4 linked regions of the Rattus norvegicus genome follow. The protein of the gene in region 4 purifies or fractionates together with the protein of the main gene of each other region. This does not show direct contact. Links are inferred from orthologs where the notes say so. Each region holds a gene or a part of one and is shown on either strand. Other genes may lie near its edges.

Region 1 (5,088 bases), on a different chromosome or scaffold from region 4:
AAAGGCATCTCCTATTTCACTTCATTGTCCTGTCTAGCATGTTCCAAACCTGGAGAGATCTGATACTTAAGTCACTATTTATCTGGAGTCAAAGCACTTGTACTAATCATGGCGGTTGTCTGGGGAAGCCCTGAACATTGAATGAAGGGACCTTCATGTTACTGAAGTTGAGACACTGAATTGAGGCAGCATTGGTGATCTTAAAACCTACTTCCCCAAACGTGCTTGGCTTCTAGTAGTGAGAACAGATAAGATTAGATGTAAGCCCTTCCAAGGAGAATGGTGCCTCGATTTCAACTAGGGTCTCCCCAGAGACAGCATCTGGAAGAGGCTTTTCTAACAGCAGGAGAGGACAGGATCGATGTCACCACAGAAAGCTTCCAACTTAGCCGCCTCTTTTTCTCCTGAGCTCCTCAAATGATTAGTAAGGCTTCCGTGGGATTTGTGGGGCTGGTTCATATTGTAGCTTATACCATGTGACCAGTTGTCAGACCCAAGATCTCTCGCCCCCCGCAGCTAACTGCAGGTGTTTGGGGTGTGATGTGGGTAGCTTGCCTCCACCTGAGTGTCCCTGATCTCTCTGATGAAAGAATATACCTTTTCATCAATTACCTGACACTTCAATTTTTCATCCTTGAAAAGGCAAAGTTTGGGGCTGGAGAGATGGTTGAACAGTCAAGAACACTGGCTGCTCTTCCAAAGGACACAGGCTCAATTCCCAGCAACCACACAGCAGCTCACAGCTGTCTGTAACCCCAATTCCAGGGCTTCTGACACCCTCACATAGGCAAAACACCGCTGAGCATAAAAATAATTAAAATAAAAGGAAAGGAGCAGTTTATGGTGTCTATCTGGAGTTTCACCAAAAACATGGCTTATGGCAACTCCGTGGCCCAATCCTCTGGCGAATGTAAGTCTCTGGTCTGTCTTGAAATACTGGGAGAAGAATGCAAAATCATATTCATGCCTCGGGGATCAGGAATGAATTTTTTTCTTAGAACTTTTCCCATAACCTTTTGAATCAGAAAGTCTCTTCTTCCCTTTTACACATCCAGAGTCGGAGTCGGGAGTCAAGCAGTTAGTTATCTGTCACAGGAGGAGGGGCTTTGATGTAGTAGGAGAGGCTGGGGAAGGCAGCCCAGTTTTCGTCGGTGTGGTGCACATTTTAAGTTGGTGGGCTGTCAGCCAAATGCGATCTAACTGGCAATATATCTCATGACTGAATTCCGCAGGAAGGGAATGTTTTTTATTTGTTGGTTTTGTGTGTGTGTGTGTGTGTGTGTGTGTGTGTGTGTTTCGAGACAGGGTTTCTCTGTGTCACCTTAGCTGTCCTGGAACTCACAGAATGGCCTGTATACCAGAATGGCCTCAAAGTTAGGAAATGATATTGACAATGTTCCAGAATCCCTTGAAGTGGGTAAGCACGGAGTACACCGTGTTGGCGGTTGGTTTCGGTAGTAACTTCATTCTTGTTAGAAATGTAGGTGTTGAACAGTTTTCACCATCGAATTCTGTCGGGTACAACAGAATTGTACTGGTCCAATCCCATGCTCGTGCATTCACCTCTGTTTTGCCATGGGTTGAAAAAGCGAGAATTTGCAGGGTGGCTGAGCAGCAGTGCTGCGCCGAGCAGCAGGATGCGGACGAGCATGTTGGTGGCAGGCAGGTTGTTGAGCGCGGGGCACGCCGTCTGTAGGAGACTGGGGTAAGAAGTCAGGTCCTGAGTTGGCTGCATAGCTAGAGGTGTCCAGTCTTGCGAGAACGCTTACTCCCAGCAGTTTGAAAACTCTCAAGACACTACCTACCGTCAGTTCCAGCAGCACACGCGCACTGCGGGATGGGGCGGGGCGTGCGCATGCGCACCGCAATGGGCGGGGTCAGTGTGTACGCAGTCACGGCCCCTTCCCCGCCCTCTCTCTTCCCGGTTTTCCTCTCAGCTACTGGGCCCGGTCAGTGGCAGCTTCCGGTAGGAGCGCCGTGAAGCGCGACCCCGGTCTCTGCTCCGTGTCATGTCCTACGGTCCCTTAGACATGTATCGGAATCCCGGGCCGTCGGGGCCTCAGCCCCGTGACTTCAACAGCATCATCCAGACATGCAGTGGCAACATCCAGCGGATCAGCCAAGCCAGTGAGCGAGGGGACCCAGCCGGGAGCGGGGGTGCGGCCTCAGGGACAGGCCTGGGTGAAGCTGCTAAGACGCGGAGCCGGATCGGGGCCTCAGCTACGGCCAAACCTGAGGCAGCCGCGAGCCTCCACTCCCGGCGCGGCGAGCTGCCTTCTCCCGGGTCGGTCAGGCTCGGGCCCTTTAGGTCCACACCCCTGTCTTCGGGGTTGTGAGTTGACGGTGCTGGGGGTCAACAGAGCCGACAGCCAGAGGGTGGGAGAGAGTGTGTGTCATCTCTAGGACTGTGAGCACAGGGTTGACATGGCGCAGTGGTCAGCCGAGTTTTTCCAGTCGTCCCCGTCTCCCCACCCACCTTGTTTTCCTCAGTTCGGATCAGGGGGGTGCTTACTGGTTGCGACTTTAGGTTCACATTCTGCTCGGCGGTTGGGTCCTCGGACATCAGCAACTTTCAATTAAGGGAAGTGGAGAATGCGTGCATTTTGGGTGATTTAACACACTGTGCTTCCTGGTAATTAATCTGGAAATCAGTCAATGACTGGTATTTAAGGGGGGAGGGACTCCTGTTTTATGGCGGAGAATGCACCGGGAACATTTTAGTTTAGGTTGTCTTTTGTAGCAAAGACGTTTTTAAAATTTCAAAACATGAAGATTTCATTTTCTGCCTGGTACAAAGTCAGTTTGTAACTGCTTACCTTAAAACTCCCTTCTCACCATTAAAGTGTAAAGTGGTTTTTTGAGCCTCAGAATCGGCCCAGAGCCTTGTAAACAGAACAACAGAAGCAATTTTACTTTTAAAATAGTGACAACCATCTATGGGGTTTATCATTGTGTTTTTTTGTGAGCTTAGCTATACTCTGTTAATAGGTAGAGTCAGTTCTAAATTACAATTATGTCCTAAACTTTAAAACATAAGCTATCACTTTGCTTTTACTTTAATTTTTGAAACAGTTTTTCGATAGCTCTGACTGCCCTGCAACTCATCCTGTAGACCAGGCTGGCTTCAAAATGAGAGATCCACCTGCCTCCCAAGTGCTGGAATTAATAATGTGCACCACCACACCCAGCTTGTTACTTTGCTTTTAAATCTAAATGTATACTGTAGAATTTGAGAGGTAGATGATTTCAGGTGGGAAGGGTTAGATTTGGAGGTAGGAAGGATAGTCAGCTTGTCAACCCAGATATTAAAAACACAATAATACTATTGATGACTAGACAGACAGTATGGTACTTTGTGTCCCAGTTTCCTTTTATTTTGGAGCTGTAATACAGGTTAAATCAGAAATTTCTTATTCAAGGGGCTGGCAAGATGGCTTAGGTAAAGTGCTTGCTGCGAAGGCCTAACAACCTGATTTGAGCCCCAGAACCCAGATAACGTGGAAGGAGCAAATTGACTCCACAGAACTGTCCTCTGACCTCCACACTCATCCATACTCGTTCCCTGGCACATAGAGTGTGTGTTTATATTAATTTGTGTGTATATTCCACATATCATAATACAATAATAATAAAAAAATTTTAAAGAGAATTTTGTGCAAGGTGTTGGTGGGGCAGACCTTTCATTCCAGCACTTGAGAGGTAGAGGCAGGCAGATCTCTGAGTGTCAGAGGCTAGCCTGTTGGTAGCGTTCCAGGACAGCCAGGGCTATACAGAGGAACCTTGTTTTGAACCACCAGAAAGAAGAAAAAAAAAGGGGGTGTGAGGGAGAAAGAAAGAAAAATTGTGTTTTCTCAAGACTGGAGTTTTCTCATTGACACTAACCTAGTTTGAATGTCTATCTGTGGGTATTTCATATCTGAGCATTAAGTTGTATAGTAAGCTTAGGAACTGATACAGATTCTTTTAATCACAAGTCTGTGTTCACTTAAATCAAAATTTAGAGTTGAAACTGGGCATAGTTGGCACACAATAGCATTTGAGAGGCCGAAGCAGGAGGATTATCATTACTTAGAGGCAAATCTAGACTGACTAGTGTGTTCAAGGCCATCCTGGGCCACATCTGAGTCTCTTTTCAAAAGGAAAAAGGGATAAGAGGAAGGAGGAACAGAGAAGGGGTTTAAAACCAAAGCCTAGGTGTGATGAGTCAGGTCTGTAACCCTGGCTCTCAGGAGACCAAGGCAAGACAGTTTCCATGGGTTCAAAGCCAGCCTGAGCTATAGAGTGAGTCTTAAAGCAAAACAACGAAGAAAGGTGATGGTGGGGAATAGGAGTGGTTTTCTTGGTGATAGATACTGATTTAGTGCTGATTAGGCATTGGATCCTTAGAGTCAATAATTAATAATGTTACTAGCTGCTGTTTAAGTACATAGTGTGCTAGGCCATATGCAAAGTGCTTTACATGTAATATCCTAACCGGTAACAGCCCTGTAGAGTAATTACAAATATTCCTAGGTTATGAGGTAGGAAACAGGCTGAGAAAAGTTAAAGAATTGCCTAGCTGGGGCTGGAGAGATGGCTCAGTGGTTAAGAGCACTGACTGCTCTTCCAGAGGTCCTGAGTTCAATTCCCAGCAATCACATGGTGGCTCACAACCATCTGTAATGGGATCCGATGCCCTCTTCTGAAGACAGTGTACTCACATAAAATAAAATCTTTAAAAAAGAAAAAAAAGAAAGAATTGCCTAGCTGAATGTGTGTTTTTCATTTCTTTTTGTTTTTTCTTTGTAATATACTCATCTTCTCTGCTAGATTGTTAGCTGTTTGAGGTAGGAAACATGGTTCATTCATCTTTGTTTTTCTGCTGTTTACCTCTGTCCCAAGCATATGATGGGTTCTTTCACTCAGGGTGCAGCGACCATTCTTTGAGCACTGATGTTCACTGGTAAGGAGCAGAGAACGAACTTCTGCATGACATCGTGTGGATGTTTGCATGCATTTACCAATAATATCAAGTCATAGCAGGTGGTGCGAAGGAAATGGAGCAGGCTAAGTGCATGGAGGGAAGGGAGAATTACCATCCCCTGGTGA
Region 2 (4,884 bases), on a different chromosome or scaffold from region 4:
GCTATGTATATACCAAACTGACGTCAAATTTACAGAGATGTGCCAGCCTTTCGTTCCCAAATGCTGGTCTTTTGTTTTTGAAGGGAAGGTGGTAGGGCAAAGTTAGGGATCGGTTAGAGCCCTACAGAACAGAACTGCCCTTCAGGACCAATTCAGTCCCTATGGTGCACAGCAGAGGAACAAGAGGAGGTAACGGGTATCCAAACTCTCAGGCAGGTATGCCCACCAGCAAGGGAAGGGCTAAAAAGGCTTTGACCTTAAACTAAATGGTGCCTTAAAGCCCCCTAGTGTCTACCAGCCCACAAATCCAGAAGTGTGAAGATGGGTGAGAATAGCCTACTTGACCCGTGTAACCTGAGCAGAGGCCTCTTAACTTGGCAAGCCCTTAACACAGACATTCCATAGAGCAGAAGAAGCCTTGGTGAGCAGCTGGGGAAAGGCTGCTTGTCAAATGTTTACCAGGCAGCCCCAGTGGTGGGCCAGAGCAGGGCCCACCTGGTGGTGGTTTCTCTCCAGGTTATCTCAGGGTACCTCCAAGGACCCTGAGTTCCAGTGGGCCTTGCTCACTTCCCTACCTCCTCTATTCTTCCTGGAAGGACCAGAAGAAATGCACCTGCTCCTTCAAATGTTTGTAGAAAACTACTGTGGGGGCAGGCAGCAGCCTAAGGGAGGTAGCACCCCAAACTAGTCTGCCAACACCCTCCCTACATGTAGTGCCCACAAGCAGGCCTGAGTGTCTGGGACTCTCTGGGTGTCAGAGGTATCAGACTAATGGAGGGGGGACTATAAGCCTACATGGGCCAGGTCTGACCACCTGGTGCCTCCTCAGCTTCCTGTGCTGCTAGACAAATGAATCAAGTTTAGACTGCTCCCTTTATCTTTTACCCACCTCCACAGTGATCTTGTGGGGACTACATAAGGCTGACTGCCTGGCCAGGCAAGGCTGGGCAGTAGCGTGAACAACTGGCAGGCATGATCCACTATCACTGTAACAGGGTCCCACATACTGTCCCACAACCAGCTGTTGTGGGTTTTGTTTTTTTTCTAAAGGGTAAAAGAGGAAGTCATTTTAACAGGCCCTCACTAAAATCCTGCAGGCTCCCCAGTACCTCAACTCCAAGCCCATACTCACAGTCCTCATCTATGTCCAGCCTCTGCTCCCCCCTTTTCAAGTCACAGTCTGACTTGGAATTCTGCCTATGCTAACCCTTCCTTCAGCAGGCAGGCTTCTGGGCCCTTTCTCAAGCTTGTCCTTTCTGCTGCTCTCCAACTGAGAGACCTGAGATCTCCTGCTCAGCCCTGGGATGGAGGCTCATCCTCTAGGAAGCCATCTCTGTCCCTGTCCTCTACATTCTGGGCAGAAGCTCTTTTGCACCAGAGCGAGCTTCATTCCCACCATCCCTGCAGCCTAGACTGCCCTCCCAGACCACTGTTCTCAGCCTCACTCCTCACCAAAAACCTCCCTCAAGTTCTCAAAGTTTCTTTTCAGCTCGAGAACTTTGTGTGTGTGATAAACTGGCCTTTACACCCCACAGTTCTGCTCTATCAGTGGTTGGGAAGTGGTAAACAGGGACACACAGCTGCTCCCTTGGAGCAGCCAAGTATACACTTATCTCTCTGGGCCAAAGAGACCAGACTCTGAGCCATCAGGAAAACTACTGATGAAAACTGAGTTGGAGGTGCCATCCCACTACCATGCCTCTATACACACACACACACACACACACACACACACACACTCTCTCTCTCTCTCTCTCTCTCTCTCTCTCTCTCTCTCTCTCTCTCAAATGAAACATTTTCATCTAACTGACACAGCCTGTCACTAGCCAGATGTCTCAGCAGCAGGTACAAACATTTTTCAAGTTCCTTTGATAAACATTATCTAATGTCAAACAACAAAAGGGTAGCCTCATCCTCTCCCCCACTTCATGTCTTTCTGTCCTCACCCAGCTCCTAACAGTCTCTCCCAGAACCCAGGGCTTTTCTCCCAGCCTTCCCCCAACTTCCTAGGAGTCTTCTGTCTTCTTCAATCCTTGTTTCGGAGGCTTGATTTTGTGTCCTACCCTGAGCACAGCTCTTCCTCGACACCTGCTTGGACCTTTCCCCAGTGCTCCTCTCTGCTTGTTCCCTCAGGAGTCTTGCCTGCTCCCATGCAGTGTCGTCTCCCCTTACCCTTCCTACACCCCAAGGCTCTGCTCTATCAGTGGTGGGAAGTGGTAAACAGCTGGCCCTCTCCTCAGAGCTCCTCAAGCTCTCCTGTCCTACCATCTTGGTCTCCCCACCAGCATCTTACACTCTCTGACTCTGCTTCTTCCTGGCTGGTAAGCCTTTCAGAGGGCTCAATTCTGAGCACATTATACATAGTTCATACTCACAACAAACTTCTGCAGTCAGTTAGTTTTTACCAATGAGCCCTTTCAGGGAAACGTACTCCCCTAAAATAAAGAAACCTCGGAACTACATCCCAAGCATGGGTTCTTCTGCTCCCAAGTTAATATGGCTGAAGATGTCGAACTTGCATAAACTTTGTGTGAGGTACCTGCCACCTCCTGGGTGTGTTCAGACCCCAGACTTGAGGACCTCTACCCTACTCTGATTCTCCTGGTTGCCTCATCCTCCCATAGCCATTTCCTTGACCAAACCAGTGTCACTGTCTGTTTATGGCTGCCCCCCCCAACCCCCAAGTTTCCACCTCTCAGTCCAGGTCTCCTTAGTTACTTGCCATCAGTCACTCTCAGCAGGAAGCCACTACCCTCACACCTCGTACTCCGGCTCATCATGCCCAGGGTCGCCCCAGCCCGGGTGCCCTCGGTCTGGTGTCCTCACCCCGGCAGCCTGGGCCGCACAGATCCACGGTTACCGGCCTGGGAAAGGCGCGGCTACCATTCAGCCACAGGGCCGTCAGCCACAGGGCCACCCTCAGAACCTGCAAGGCCGCAGAGGGGCTCCCAAAGTGCAGAGAGCAGAAGAGCCCGCTCTTCCCCGCCTTGGGCCCAACCTCGCCCGCTGCTCACCCAAAGAGGCCGGAGAAGAAGGACTGCGAGTTCTTCACCTTGCGCTCCGCTTCAGCCAGCAGCGCCATAGCCTCAGCCTGCTTCCCGGAGGTGTCCATGACGTCGCGCAGCTGCTCGGTTCAGGCCCGACACAGCCAAGCTACGACTCACAGGCCCGGGACAACGCGCACTCAGCGGAGCTCCGCCCGCTACGTTGACGTCACCCGGGTCTGCTATCCCACGTGAACCGTGAGAGCCAACCAGAGGGTTCAAGCTGCGAAGCACTCTCGTCCCGGCACGCCCCTCCGGCTACCGCACTCCGCACCTTGACCCGCAACACGTGAGCACACGCCCGAGGTCTGACGCTGCTAGCCTCCTAGAACCCTAGAGCGCACTGCCACGTGACACCAAGTAAGCCAATCATAAGCTCGCACCGCCAAGTGCCAATTTCTCCCCCACCCCCCACAAAACGCGACCTTTGACTCCTTCCAACCAATCAGCAGGCTCCATAGATCTGTTCCGCCACGCCTCGGCGGAACTGGGAAGCACTGATCAGCTGACCAGTTTCTCGGCGCTCACGTGACGCCTCAAGGTTCGTTCTCGAGGTTTGACAGACCCAGCAGTTTAGTTCCACCTCCTGGTTCACTTTACGTCTTAGTCACTTGGGAGTAACAGCTTTGTAGTAAAAAAGAACCTTCTAACTCCCTCTGGCGATCGTCTCTAGAATTGGCTTGCGGAGTCCAGAAGTTCTCCATTTCTAGCTGGATGGCTCAGCTGCTAAAGGCAAGTTTAACAACTATAGTTCGATTCCAGGGACCCACATGGTGGAGGCTGAGAACTGACTCCTCCAAACTGTTCTCTAACCTACGCACACAACGCGTTTAGAATATTTTGCAGTGCCACACACAGAATGGCACTGGATACCCAGACCCATGTAAAAAGCTGGGTGTGTCAGCGTGTAGCTGTAACAGGAATGGGTGAGTGGGAGACAGGCATATGCCTGGAGCTTGCTGGCCAGCAAGTCTGGCAGAATCAATGAGCTCCAGGGTCAGAAAGAGACCTGGTTTCAAAAAATAAGATGCAGAACAACTGAAGAAGACTCCCGACATCAACCCCTGGCCTACACATTAAACATTGTTAAAAATTAGTGAAAAAAAAGTCTAAATAAAGCATGGGCAGTTATTGATAGTGGTTCAGTAGCTGTAGTAAATACACTACACTATAGTAAGAGCAACATCTTACTATAAGAGAAACTGGCTATGTGAGAACTTTTGGTACTATGCTAGTTTTCTGTAAATCTCGTTATTCTAAGGCCCTGTGCACAGCGATTTCAGTCCCAACAGTGTGCTGTGGTGCAAGAATCTGTATTTCTTCTTTACTGAAGTTTACTGATTAGCAGAGAACATTTGAGGAAAGTGTTATGTGAGTTGAGTGTTGGGGGTCAGGAAAAGGCAAAAGACATCTCCCCACCCCCACCTCCTTCCCATTGAGCACTTTCCCAAATATACCTGTGCTCCCGACTGTGCTCTGACCCCGGAGCTGGTGAGTCTGGAGGGCCACAAGCAGTTATGGTTCCCCTTCCATTTGCTGCATGGTCTCATCTTTTTGGAACAATGAGCTGTGCAGCAATAGATGACTATATACCCTCAACCCATAAGGCCAGCTGCTTCCACTCATGGAGTTGGGTCCTTCAGGGTAGAGCAGTGGAATGCTCACTGCAAAGCAATGCTCATGTCACTGGGAATGCCCACCAAGAAAAGTGCATTTCCTCATTTACCCACTACACACATTGGGAAAAAATGTTCAGGTAGGAAGGAAGAGAGCCATTCTGGTTCCTGGGCTGCCCTGTACCCCTCATTTCCCTCAAACAGGATGTCTCAACAGCTCCAAA
Region 3 (4,968 bases), on a different chromosome or scaffold from region 4:
CACCCATGGAACTCCTCTGTGCGGTCTCCAGCAGCATCAGCCATCACACAGTGCCGCAGAAGGGTCCCCAGGTACCGGTAAAGGGCAGCGTCCTCCTAGCCAAAGACGGAAAGGGGCTCCCGTGAGAATAAGACCCTATTCTTATGACCCAAGGCCACATGGTGATCACTAGGCCCTGTCCACAGCACACTTGGTCACCTGAAGCATTATGGAGAATACCCGTCCCCAGCCCCATGCACAACACAGCTCAGAAACCTTGAGTTCCTGCCTAGATTGTCCTCTAGTCCTTGCCATATCCGACACCCTGCAACTTGAGGCACACAGGGAAGCAAACCCACAAAATGCCCCAGCTGAGCTGAGTCCCACCCATTGACTTCAGACTACAACCTACCTCATCAACCTCCCTCTTAACAGAGTCGTAGGTGATGTTAAAGAGCACTTTGAGGATTTCCATGGCCCGCTCTGTCTCTTGGGCTGGAAGTATCACCAGAGGGTTTTCTTTGGGGGCCACACCCAATGTCAGTTCCAGCGCATCGGTCAGCAGGCGCACGCCATGCAGCTCCTGAAACAGCTGCTGGCGCACATCAGTGCGAAGGGCTGTTAGCAGGAAAAGGAGCCTTAAGTCAAAGAACTGGACTTCGTGGGGATAGCTCCTTTTGCGGTACAGTCCCACACGTTCCGCTAGCCTCACCACCAGTCGAGCCTCTGCTGCTAGCATCTGTGCTGTAGGACTGCTGAGCACAAGATTACACAGGCATTTGAGAGACTCGAGGAGGACATCCATGTCTGGGGGCTGTGGGATGGGCTCCTCTGAGATGGCAATGTCGGCATAGCAGGCTAGTGCGTGTAAACTCTGGCGGCTAGCAAATGAGTCCAGGCAGCTGCGGTCTCGGGATAGGATTCGGATAGTCTGCAGCCAGGTGACACGGTGTTTTGGTGACAAGCCCTGCTCCAGTACGGAGACCAGCAGCTTTGCGAGTCTCTGTGGGAAGGGACAAAAATGGTTCCACTAGGCCCTCTTCTTGGGGCAGCCCGTGCTTGCCCTAGGAACCCCCTTGGGCTGACACCTACCTTCCTGTCCTCCTGCTGTGCATCATCGAAGGTGAAGCTCTGGGAATGCTGCAGGGAGACCCAGGAAGCTCAGTTCCACACGCAGGTAGGACCTGTGCTCCTCGAGAAGCAGCAGGTCTGCTTCTACCTCTGAAGCAGCAGCCATCGCTGTGTACGTAAAGCAAGGCCCACCCTCGCCACCCATACACCTGACTACCACAGAGGCACCGCCGTGGCCCAGCCCACCACCCACCGCCCTGCTCCCTGCCACACTCGCACGCACACCCCAGCCGAGTGGCGAGCAACCGGCTGCTTCCTCACTTCCTGCAATTTCCTCGGCAGCTGGATGCCTCTCACCTCTCGGTTAAACGACCGCAGAGCTTCTGTCACCGCATCTTCCTCTCCCGTCTCCAAGGCATCCGCAACTGCCCGGGGCTCCATGGCCCCTGGCACGGGGTGCTAGAAGACTTGGGCTGGGAAGACGCAATCGGCCAAACCCGGGGACTCCGCCCAGGTCCGGAAGCCCAGCGTCCACGCGTGAGGAATGCTGGGAGAACAGCCGAGCCTAGGGTGTGTACAGGCGCGGGGCTGGCCTCCGGCTTAAGGTGGAGCAACCCGGCTGTGGCCGCTGAGCGGCTTGTCTTGGAGCAGCGATGCTAGCTAACTAAGCAGTATCCTCCTTTTGAGCCCTTCTCTCTAGCCCGACTTCCTGGCGGGCGGGGGTGGGGAGTGGGGTGTGGCTTGGCCGGCGCGTAAACCTTTCTCCTTACACTCTTGTTCCCGTACTGTGATAAAAGAGGGAGCGCCGGCTCCTGGCCGCTTAGTCAGTTGGGGAAGACGATTCTCGCGGTCATCTTCCTGATGCTCATCTTCCACGGGAAATAAGGAAAGAGAAGTACGACTTGGATGGTCAAAATAATGTACGTGGTTAGCCGGGCATAGTAACGCACGCTTTTTTAAATTTCAGCACTCGAGAGGCAGAAACGGGCAGACCTATCTAAAAACAATCAAAAAACCAAACCACCAAAATAATGTGGTTATCAAAAGAAAAGGGCAATTGCAGAGTGTATGAGGAAGGATCGGAGAGAAGGAAGTGAAGAACACCGGTGGAAAAGCGACTCCCGCGGGAGGAGCAACGGAGGGGCGGCTAGCCGCGGCGTGTCTGGGGTTAGAAGCGTAGGAACGTTGTATAGTGGGGAGCCAGGTCTGCATGCCACTTAGCTTAAGGCAGAGTCGGTGCACCCCACGGTGACACAAGCAATGTTCCAGAGGATAATGCCGCCCGCTGTGCTAACCGGCGCTTGCCTCTACTCAGTGTCAGGTCCTTTGCCAGTCTCTTTCGCTTCTGCTCGTCCTCCCCATCCTGTCGTTCTCACTTGGGGACTTTGCAGCGCCCGAGGTACCCGACCCTCGGCTCCAGGTTGGGGTCTGAGCTCCTGCTCCGGGTAATACCCACAGCGCGGGACTAATACTGCTGACCAATCCGTAGGCCCGAATGCTGGCGGCCCGCCCTTCCCTTATTTACATTCCAGTGTAGAACTACAAGTCTGTTTCTTCCGCTTCAGACTCTTCTCCCGGAAGTTATTAGACCTGAGGCGGAACCGGAAGACCCAGGTAGTGGTGCCACGTCCGTCGCTGTGTTGCCTACTCCCCGAGTGGGACCTCGGAAGGCGCGATGGCAGATTGGACTCGAGGTGAGCGCACCTGAAGGTAGTTGGGATAGGAGGCAAGGTCTAAGTCTGGAGTACGAGCCATCAATTTTTCCTCGGTGGAGGGATCTGCGTGGGATGGCGCTTACGTATTCCAGGAAAAACAGGGCCAGATTTCAACTGGCACTGCCTTGGAACCCAAGCCGGCATGACATCAGTTTGTGTGTATGGTTGATGCCAAGGGCTGGAAGCAGAAGGTCCAAGCAGGGACTTACAGGGCTCAAGTGCCTCGTTTCACACACACCCTCCGCCCCCGTGCCTGTGTTCAGTCTGACAGTTGTGATACTGAGGCTTCTACTATACTAACTATGTAGTGGTTGGTAGGACACAGCCGTCTGTCTTTTAGAGTCTGGTCGCCCCTGTTTGCTGGTGCTGCTGGCTTTCCCCTTAGGTGGGTCATATCGAGGCTGGATTTTTATGCTTCAGACCAGTGCCAGTCACACTTAGGCAGGTGATTCTCAACTACATACCGTGACAGAAATTCTTCATGTCTAGTCTCTGTCCGTCGGAGTAAGGTTTCCACAGGAGAGTGCTCTGGGGCTTCTAGAGATCCTGTGTGGGTTGTAGCAGTAGGGATTGGTAGTTTCTACAGTAAAAGGCCTTTCTTACACTTACCTTGGACTTGATTCCTAAGTCATCCCCACACAGCCTTCCTGTCACCTGCTTTGTTGTTCTGTTCTGTTTTCCCTATAATCCCTACCAGATTGAGACCTGTCCCATACTCTCAGATGGTGATTTCAGCTAAGGCAATATTCATTTTGGTCCAGGAACAGTATACAACAGGGTAGTGTAGATTGACCTGCTGGTTCCCTGTCTCTGCCTGGGCATTGCACACAAGTACTCCCATGACCCATGCTTCCTGTCTGGTGTGTAGGTGGTCTACCTGTTGGAACATAGGGTGGAACATGCTAAGTGAGCAGAAGGATATGGGTGGAATGCCCTTAGAGGTCTCACCAGGCCAGGCTCCACTGGAGCAAGGAGCCAAGGACCACATTTATGAGTGAATTCTACCCTTCAGCCTCTTTGTCTTGCAGCTCAGAGTTCTGGTGCTGTGGAGGAGATTCTAGACAGAGAGAACAAGCGGATGGCTGACAGCCTGGCCTCTAAGGTCACCAGGCTTAAATCGGTTAGTGGTGGCCCTTTTCCCTTCCATGAGACACTTTGGTGAGTGGGGCTGAGTGGGTAGAAAGGAAGCCATGCTGTCCGTGGGTGTGCTGACTGAGGAATGCTTCAGGTAATACCTTGGCCTTTTTAGCTTTTTCTAGTAATAGGTACCTAGCAGAATCTGAAGGGAAGATGGGCACTGCACTCTGTGTCCTTGCTTGACTGTGCCTTCTGTATCCCAACCAGCTGGCTTTGGACATCGACAGGGACACGGAAGACCAGAACCGATACCTAGATGGCATGGTAAGTGCCTGTATTACGTACAAATCATAGTCAGCTCTACCCCCATGCCGCCTGCTCTTCTGCCTCTAACCCTTCAGCGCTAGTACAGTTGGGCCGTCACAGATCCCAGCTCTATGTGATCCCGTTGGGTCTCTCCCGCAGGACTCAGATTTCACAAGTGTGACTGGCCTACTCACAGGGAGTGTGAAGCGCTTTTCCACGGTGGCACGGTCTGGGCGAGACAACCGGAAGCTTCTGTGTGGTATGGCTGTGGTCTTAATTGTGGCCTTCTTCATCCTCTCCTACCTCTTGTCGAGGACAAGGACGTGAGCCAGTGGGAGCCAAGGGCAGCCAGACTCTTGTCCACCTGGTATCCTGGCTTCCTAAGGACCTGACTACAGAAACAATATTCCTTTGAAATTATCATCACGGGTCATTCGTCTTCCTAAGTCAGGACGACTGCGGCTGCCTCTGTCGTAACGAGCTCCTCTTGGCTTGTCCTGTGTATGAAGGAAGAAGAAAAAGGCAAAACCCAGTGCTACTCCCTGGTGCTAAAGACACTGGCAGAGTCAGAGCCATGTTGTATGAGAATGAGCCAGTTCTATTGAGAGCATCTGAGAGTGCTGAATGCGCCTACCGTGGCCAGTGGCCACACTCCTCAAGGGCCTTCTGTTGTGCTCTAACCTGTTTATGTCTGGTTTAAACCATGTCCGTGTTCTTGAAGAGTCTGAAGCTGACACCAGAAGGGAATGTGGCCGTGAGCCCTCTCCAAATGATGGTCGTCGGGATGGGGTTGACAGTGACACCAGGCTGAGACTGCTGG
Region 4 (4,758 bases):
CAAACAGAACAATGGGAAATAGTTTACGAAATCCGTTGTCAGGGACCTGGGGAGATGGCTCAGTGTCCTGAACGAAGAATGATCTGCATTAGCTGTGCTATTTTCAGACAAGCACGGTTTTTAGGTATACAGCAAACAGAAATGAAAGAAAGAGACAGCAAACAGGAGATAGTAGTTTGTGAGATCAGACACTTACGTCATCCAGCAGGAAGCAACAACCTGGAGAGCAAAAACCAGCTAGTTGGAGCCTCTCCCTGACCCACAAAAAGGGTTGCAGGAAGAACGGCTTCTTTTAGGTGAGATATGCAATGAGCCATTCCTGCCACCTACGACATCTTTATGTCAGGAAGGTCAGAGGGAATAAGTGGCCCTCCCACTGTGATCAAGGACATAGTATTTTGACTCAAATACTTACTCTCCTTCTGTCCTTGTGGAGCCGGTGTTTTTACTCTTTAGGCCATTTCACTATCCTGCTTCTGCTTTCTCCTAGGGCCAGCCAGCCAGTCCATCCCCAGTCAGGGGGTCTTTCGGACACTTTAAGAGTGACTTGTTTGGGTAGTAAGTGTGTTTATGGCAGGGACATGGACGGGGTGGCAACCCTATGTTCACAGTCAGCTTCTTAATGAACTTAAACACCACATCACTTATTAACATCATGCATTTTATACCCAAACAATAAATTGCTTGGCATACGAGCATTAGGAAGTGAGTTAAGATAACTACCTAGGACATATATGAAAAAGCCAGGCGTAGCAGCATATGACTGTAATCCCAGCACTGGGGAGGCAAAACTGAGGCTTGCTAGCCAGCTAGTCTAAATCAGTGAGCTTCAGGTTGTGGGCACATGGAAACTGCCTGTTAGCAAAGGACAGAGGACTGAGGCTCTGCTGTAGACATAGGAAAACCATCCAGGGAAGAAAGCTTCACATGCTGGAGGGTGGAAGACGGGCAGAGCTGGAAAGTAAGATCAGAAAAGGCTCTGAGAAAGGAAAATGCTGATTGAAGATACTTTTCTCTTTTCTTCTTCTTTCCTTCCTTCCTTCCTTCCTTTCCGTCTTCTTTCCTTCTTTTCTCCTCTTCCTCCTCCGAGACATTTATCCTAGCTGGCCTTGAACTCCCTATGTAGCTGAAGATGACCTTGAATTTCTGGTCTTTCTATGCTCATCTTCTGAGTACTAGGATTAAAGGCATTTGCCACCATGTTCTGTTTATGAAGTGCGGGGGATCGAATCCACACCCTCTTTTTTTTTTGGAGCTGGGGACCGAACCCAGGGCCTTGCGCTTCCTAGGTAAGCGCTCTACCACTGAGCTAAATCCCCAGCCCGAATCCACACCCTCTTACAAGGCACCTTGCTCATTGAGCTACACGCACCCCCGCCCCTATTCCCAAGACATCTTATTTAAGGGGAGATAAAGAAAACTGTATCTCTCCTCTAGGTCATCTGCTGAAAAGAAGAACAATCCGAGATGAACGATTGAAGGTTCAGAAAGATGTGGTATGAACACCCAGAACAGCTAAACCAAAATTTCAAACGTGCTACTTAAAGCTGTAAAATAACGAATGGTCCACCAGGTGGCAGTGTCTACGGAGGCTCCTGTATCCCATCAGCCTTGGCGCTCGGGGTGGAAGAAGGCGTGGAGGTGACTCTCTGGCACTCAGGGCCTCTACTTGCCTGTCCCGACTGACGTTGGGCAACAAAGATGGCGGCGGGAACCAGCAATTACTGGGAAGGTGAGGGCGAGGCCTCTGAGTGGGTCCCGCCGGGTGCAGAGGGGACTTAGTGAGGCTGGATCTTGAGGGGAGCAGCAGAGGGAAAAGCCAGGCCTCAGGAACGGCCATACTTCTGGATGAGTTTGTCCGAGAGGAACCCTGGGCCTGGGAACTTGGGGAAGGAGCTGGGGCGGAGTGAACCGGACCTGGGAAGGGGTTGGGTCTCAGAGTGGAGGGAGCCAGGATGGAGAGGAAGAGGCTCCTGAGGCTCCAGATGGAAGTGTCTGAAGGGTGGTGAGGTTCTCAGGATGGGGCTGCGGGGACGAGCTCTTGGGAGAATGTTGAGCGACAAGATCCAGAGCCCGGAAGATGAGTAGTCAGAACCTTGCAGTTGAGGTCACTGTCAGAAAACTAAGAGTGAGGTGGAACTTGTCTGTGCCGGCCTTGCGGGGAGTTTGAGTGGACTGTCGCCTCCTGGACCCCAACTGGCAATTTGAGATTGAGACTTTATTAACGACTGGATGACAGAATACTGAAAATAAATACCTTCTGCCCTGGACTCCAAGATCGGTTTTGTTAAAAGTGATAGTAAAAGGGTTCTAATGAATACATTTGCCATTCTTCTCCCGCCAAGAAAACATTCAGTTGTGTTCTTTAATTCCTGAAAATCTGGCCCACTCAAGTGAGGCCACACAAAACTTTCCTAGACCACAGTGATCCAAGAAGATCAAAAATGGCACCCTTTTTTCATTTAACTGTTTGCTTCCTTATTTATTTATTTATTTAGTTAGTTAGTTAGTTAGTTAGTTAGTTTTTAAACCTTTTCCTCTTTTTGTCCCATGAAGCCCCTGGAAAATATGGTATTGTCACCATCAGCCAGTAGGTCTAAGGGACTGAATTTTATGTTATGTCATATTTTCAAAATGCTTTGTGTTTGTTTTCCATTAGACTGAATAAATAAATAGAATTACAGAGAAACATGTATTTAAAATGCCCATTGGAAATATGGTTGTAGCTAAAATTTCTTTTTAAACGATGTAGAAGTGGCTGCTGGCACCTCTGATGGTCATTAGGCTATGGGTTTTTGAAACATTATGCCGTTACTAATTAGAGCAGACTGACAATATACCTTGTACCAGATGCTTTAAGCATGCATAGAAAAACTGAAGCCCTGAGGTTTTTAAGTTAACTGAATTGTCTATAAATCTCAAAGACAGTAGGTGGCTGAGCTGTCATTGACAGTGGGATTTGGTCTCTGGGTAGGTGTATTCCACCATATAATTCTGCTTCCTGCCTTTGATTGCAAAATGTAATGAAACAGTGTCTTGATATTCTTTAGTCCTGAGACATTCTTACATTATTCCTACCTGTATTTTACTCCTTTCATTTGAACTCCACCATGAACACACACACACACACACACACACACACACACACACACACACACACACACACACGGGTTTCCAAGTATGGCTTCTTTCATTTAGCCCTTTAGAAACCAGGCTGCTACACCAGTTTATCTGATCGCTTCTACTTTTAAAACATACGTTTTTTAAAAAAAAAAAAAACCAAAAACTGTCACAGTTGTATTCTGTCTTGTTCATAGTGTATTGTTTGTTTTTACTGGACCCCTCAATGTTTTTGAAAAAGCGATTTTTATTTATTTGTTAATTTGGTTTTTCCTTGTGTTTAATTGCTAAGATGTCTTGCCTGTATGGAAAAAAAAAGTTCCAAATTCCTAACACTTTTGAAACATAAAAAGAAAAATGTGTCAAAAAGAATGCTGGCTTCTTACAGTTAGCAGGTAAACCGATGTGAGGATAATAAACTATCTTCATTTCCTCGTGATTTATATTCGCTCCTTGTTGCCCTTCAAGTTATAACAGATGGTTATTACCGTAATTCTCAGGGATGTTGTGGCACTGGCTGTCAAGCTGTCTTTGAAAGAAAAGTGACAGGTTGTGTGTCTCCCACAATGGCTTCCCTCATTGCTCCCTCTGAAGGTTACTTAGCCAGTTTACTTTCTTAGATACGCCTTTGGTTTCTGAGTAACTAGATCAGAGATCATTATGTGATCATTTTCATAGTTGGCTTTCTTAAAATAGTCATGAATTTAATGTCTACTGATGGACTACTGATTTACTTTTGTCATTTTCTTAAAGATCTTAGGAAACAAGCTCGACAGCTGGAAAATGAACTTGACCTGAAACTAGTTTCCTTCAGTAAACTGTGTACGAGTTACAGTCACAGCAGCGCCCGGGATGGAGGCCGCGATAGGTATAGGTACTGCCAGATTCGTATGCCTTAAACTCGGTGATGCTTTTATAAGGAAACTGACATGTAGACCTCTGTGACTGGGTCTGCTGCTGAACTGTGGACGTTTCGATTTCCTTGTCATTATCTTTGTGTCTCTGTCTGTATGTGTGTGTCTTACTGAAATTCTTCCTAATTCATGAGGCCAGCATTTATCTGAGATCTTAGACAAACGGTGATAGCTCAGGAGAAACATCTAGAGTGTATCAATAGTTTGGAAGCCAGGCCTGTACACCTTTGCCAGCACTAGGAGGATAAGACAGGGGACACATGATGTAAATTCATTCTGGGCTCCATGGCAAAGCCAAAGAAATTTCATTCTCGGTCCTCAGAAATGTCTGGTTTGCCCACATGGTTTTTGTTTTCTCTTGTTTTGTTTTTGTATTTCAAGATAGAGTTTGTCCCTGTAGCCCTGGCTGTCCTGGAACTCTCCCTGTAGACCAGGCTGGCCTTGAACTCAGAGATCCCCTGCTTCTGCCTCCAGGGCTGCTGCACCACCACCCTCTGGCTGATGGCTTTTTTTTCTAATTTCTGAGTGGAACTGAGGAGCTGCCCAATGCTCTGTGTCCGGGACCTGTAGTCTCCAGCTCTGGAAAGTGAAGACGGACAGTCTATGCTCAGTGTTCATTTTGATTGCTGGATCGGAAGCATATCAGTGAATAAGGTCATCAGTGAACAGGACTTTTCTTCTAGGCAACTCGGGACTTTGAGAGCCAAGGACTCTCATACCTACT

The links. The genes of interacting proteins can lie anywhere in the genome.
Region 1: the proteins of Gosr1 (region 4) and Stx12 purify together in Homo sapiens (affinity purification with mass spectrometry; 3 studies listed by BioGRID and IntAct, counting the BioPlex papers as one, with this or other methods). This does not show direct contact. The link is inferred for Rattus norvegicus from reciprocal best matches to the Homo sapiens genes GOSR1 and STX12.
Region 2: the proteins of Gosr1 (region 4) and Napa purify together in Homo sapiens (affinity purification with mass spectrometry; 3 studies listed by BioGRID and IntAct, with this or other methods). This does not show direct contact. The link is inferred for Rattus norvegicus from reciprocal best matches to the Homo sapiens genes GOSR1 and NAPA.
Region 3: the proteins of Gosr1 (region 4) and Bet1l purify together in Homo sapiens (affinity purification with western blotting; 3 studies listed by BioGRID and IntAct, with this or other methods). This does not show direct contact. The link is inferred for Rattus norvegicus from reciprocal best matches to the Homo sapiens genes GOSR1 and BET1L.

The regions. Positions count from the first base shown.
Region 1 is NC_086023.1:150,373,190-150,378,277, reverse strand, and holds the start of Stx12 (syntaxin-12), read left to right. Parts: upstream 1-1,931; 5' UTR 1,932-2,009; coding exon 2,010-2,127; intron 2,128-5,088. UniProt on the Homo sapiens protein: SNARE promoting fusion of transport vesicles with target membranes. Together with SNARE STX6, promotes movement of vesicles from endosomes to the cell membrane, and may therefore function in the endocytic recycling pathway.
Region 2 is NC_086019.1:85,913,708-85,918,591, reverse strand, and holds the start of Napa (alpha-soluble NSF attachment protein), read right to left. Parts: upstream 3,158-4,884; 5' UTR 3,113-3,157; coding exon 3,015-3,112; intron 1-3,014. UniProt on the Homo sapiens protein: Required for vesicular transport between the endoplasmic reticulum and the Golgi apparatus. Together with GNA12 promotes CDH5 localization to plasma membrane.
Region 3 is NC_086019.1:205,361,550-205,366,517, reverse strand, and holds the start of Bet1l (BET1-like protein), read left to right. Parts: upstream 1-1,811; 5' UTR 1,812-1,970; intron 1,971-2,615; 5' UTR 2,616-2,725; coding exon 2,726-2,744; intron 2,745-3,793; coding exon 3,794-3,885; intron 3,886-4,109; coding exon 4,110-4,166; intron 4,167-4,307; coding exon 4,308-4,475; 3' UTR 4,476-4,968. Other genes in the region: Ric8a (synembryn-A), read right to left, coding at 4-95, 392-982, 1,072-1,119, 1,408-1,491. UniProt on the Homo sapiens protein: Vesicle SNARE required for targeting and fusion of retrograde transport vesicles with the Golgi complex. Required for the integrity of the Golgi complex.
Region 4 is NC_086028.1:62,102,258-62,107,015, reverse strand, and holds the start of Gosr1 (Golgi SNAP receptor complex member 1), read left to right. Parts: upstream 1-1,700; 5' UTR 1,701-1,701; coding exon 1,702-1,732; intron 1,733-3,873; coding exon 3,874-3,994; intron 3,995-4,758. UniProt on the Homo sapiens protein: Involved in transport from the ER to the Golgi apparatus as well as in intra-Golgi transport. It belongs to a super-family of proteins called t-SNAREs or soluble NSF (N-ethylmaleimide-sensitive factor) attachment protein receptor.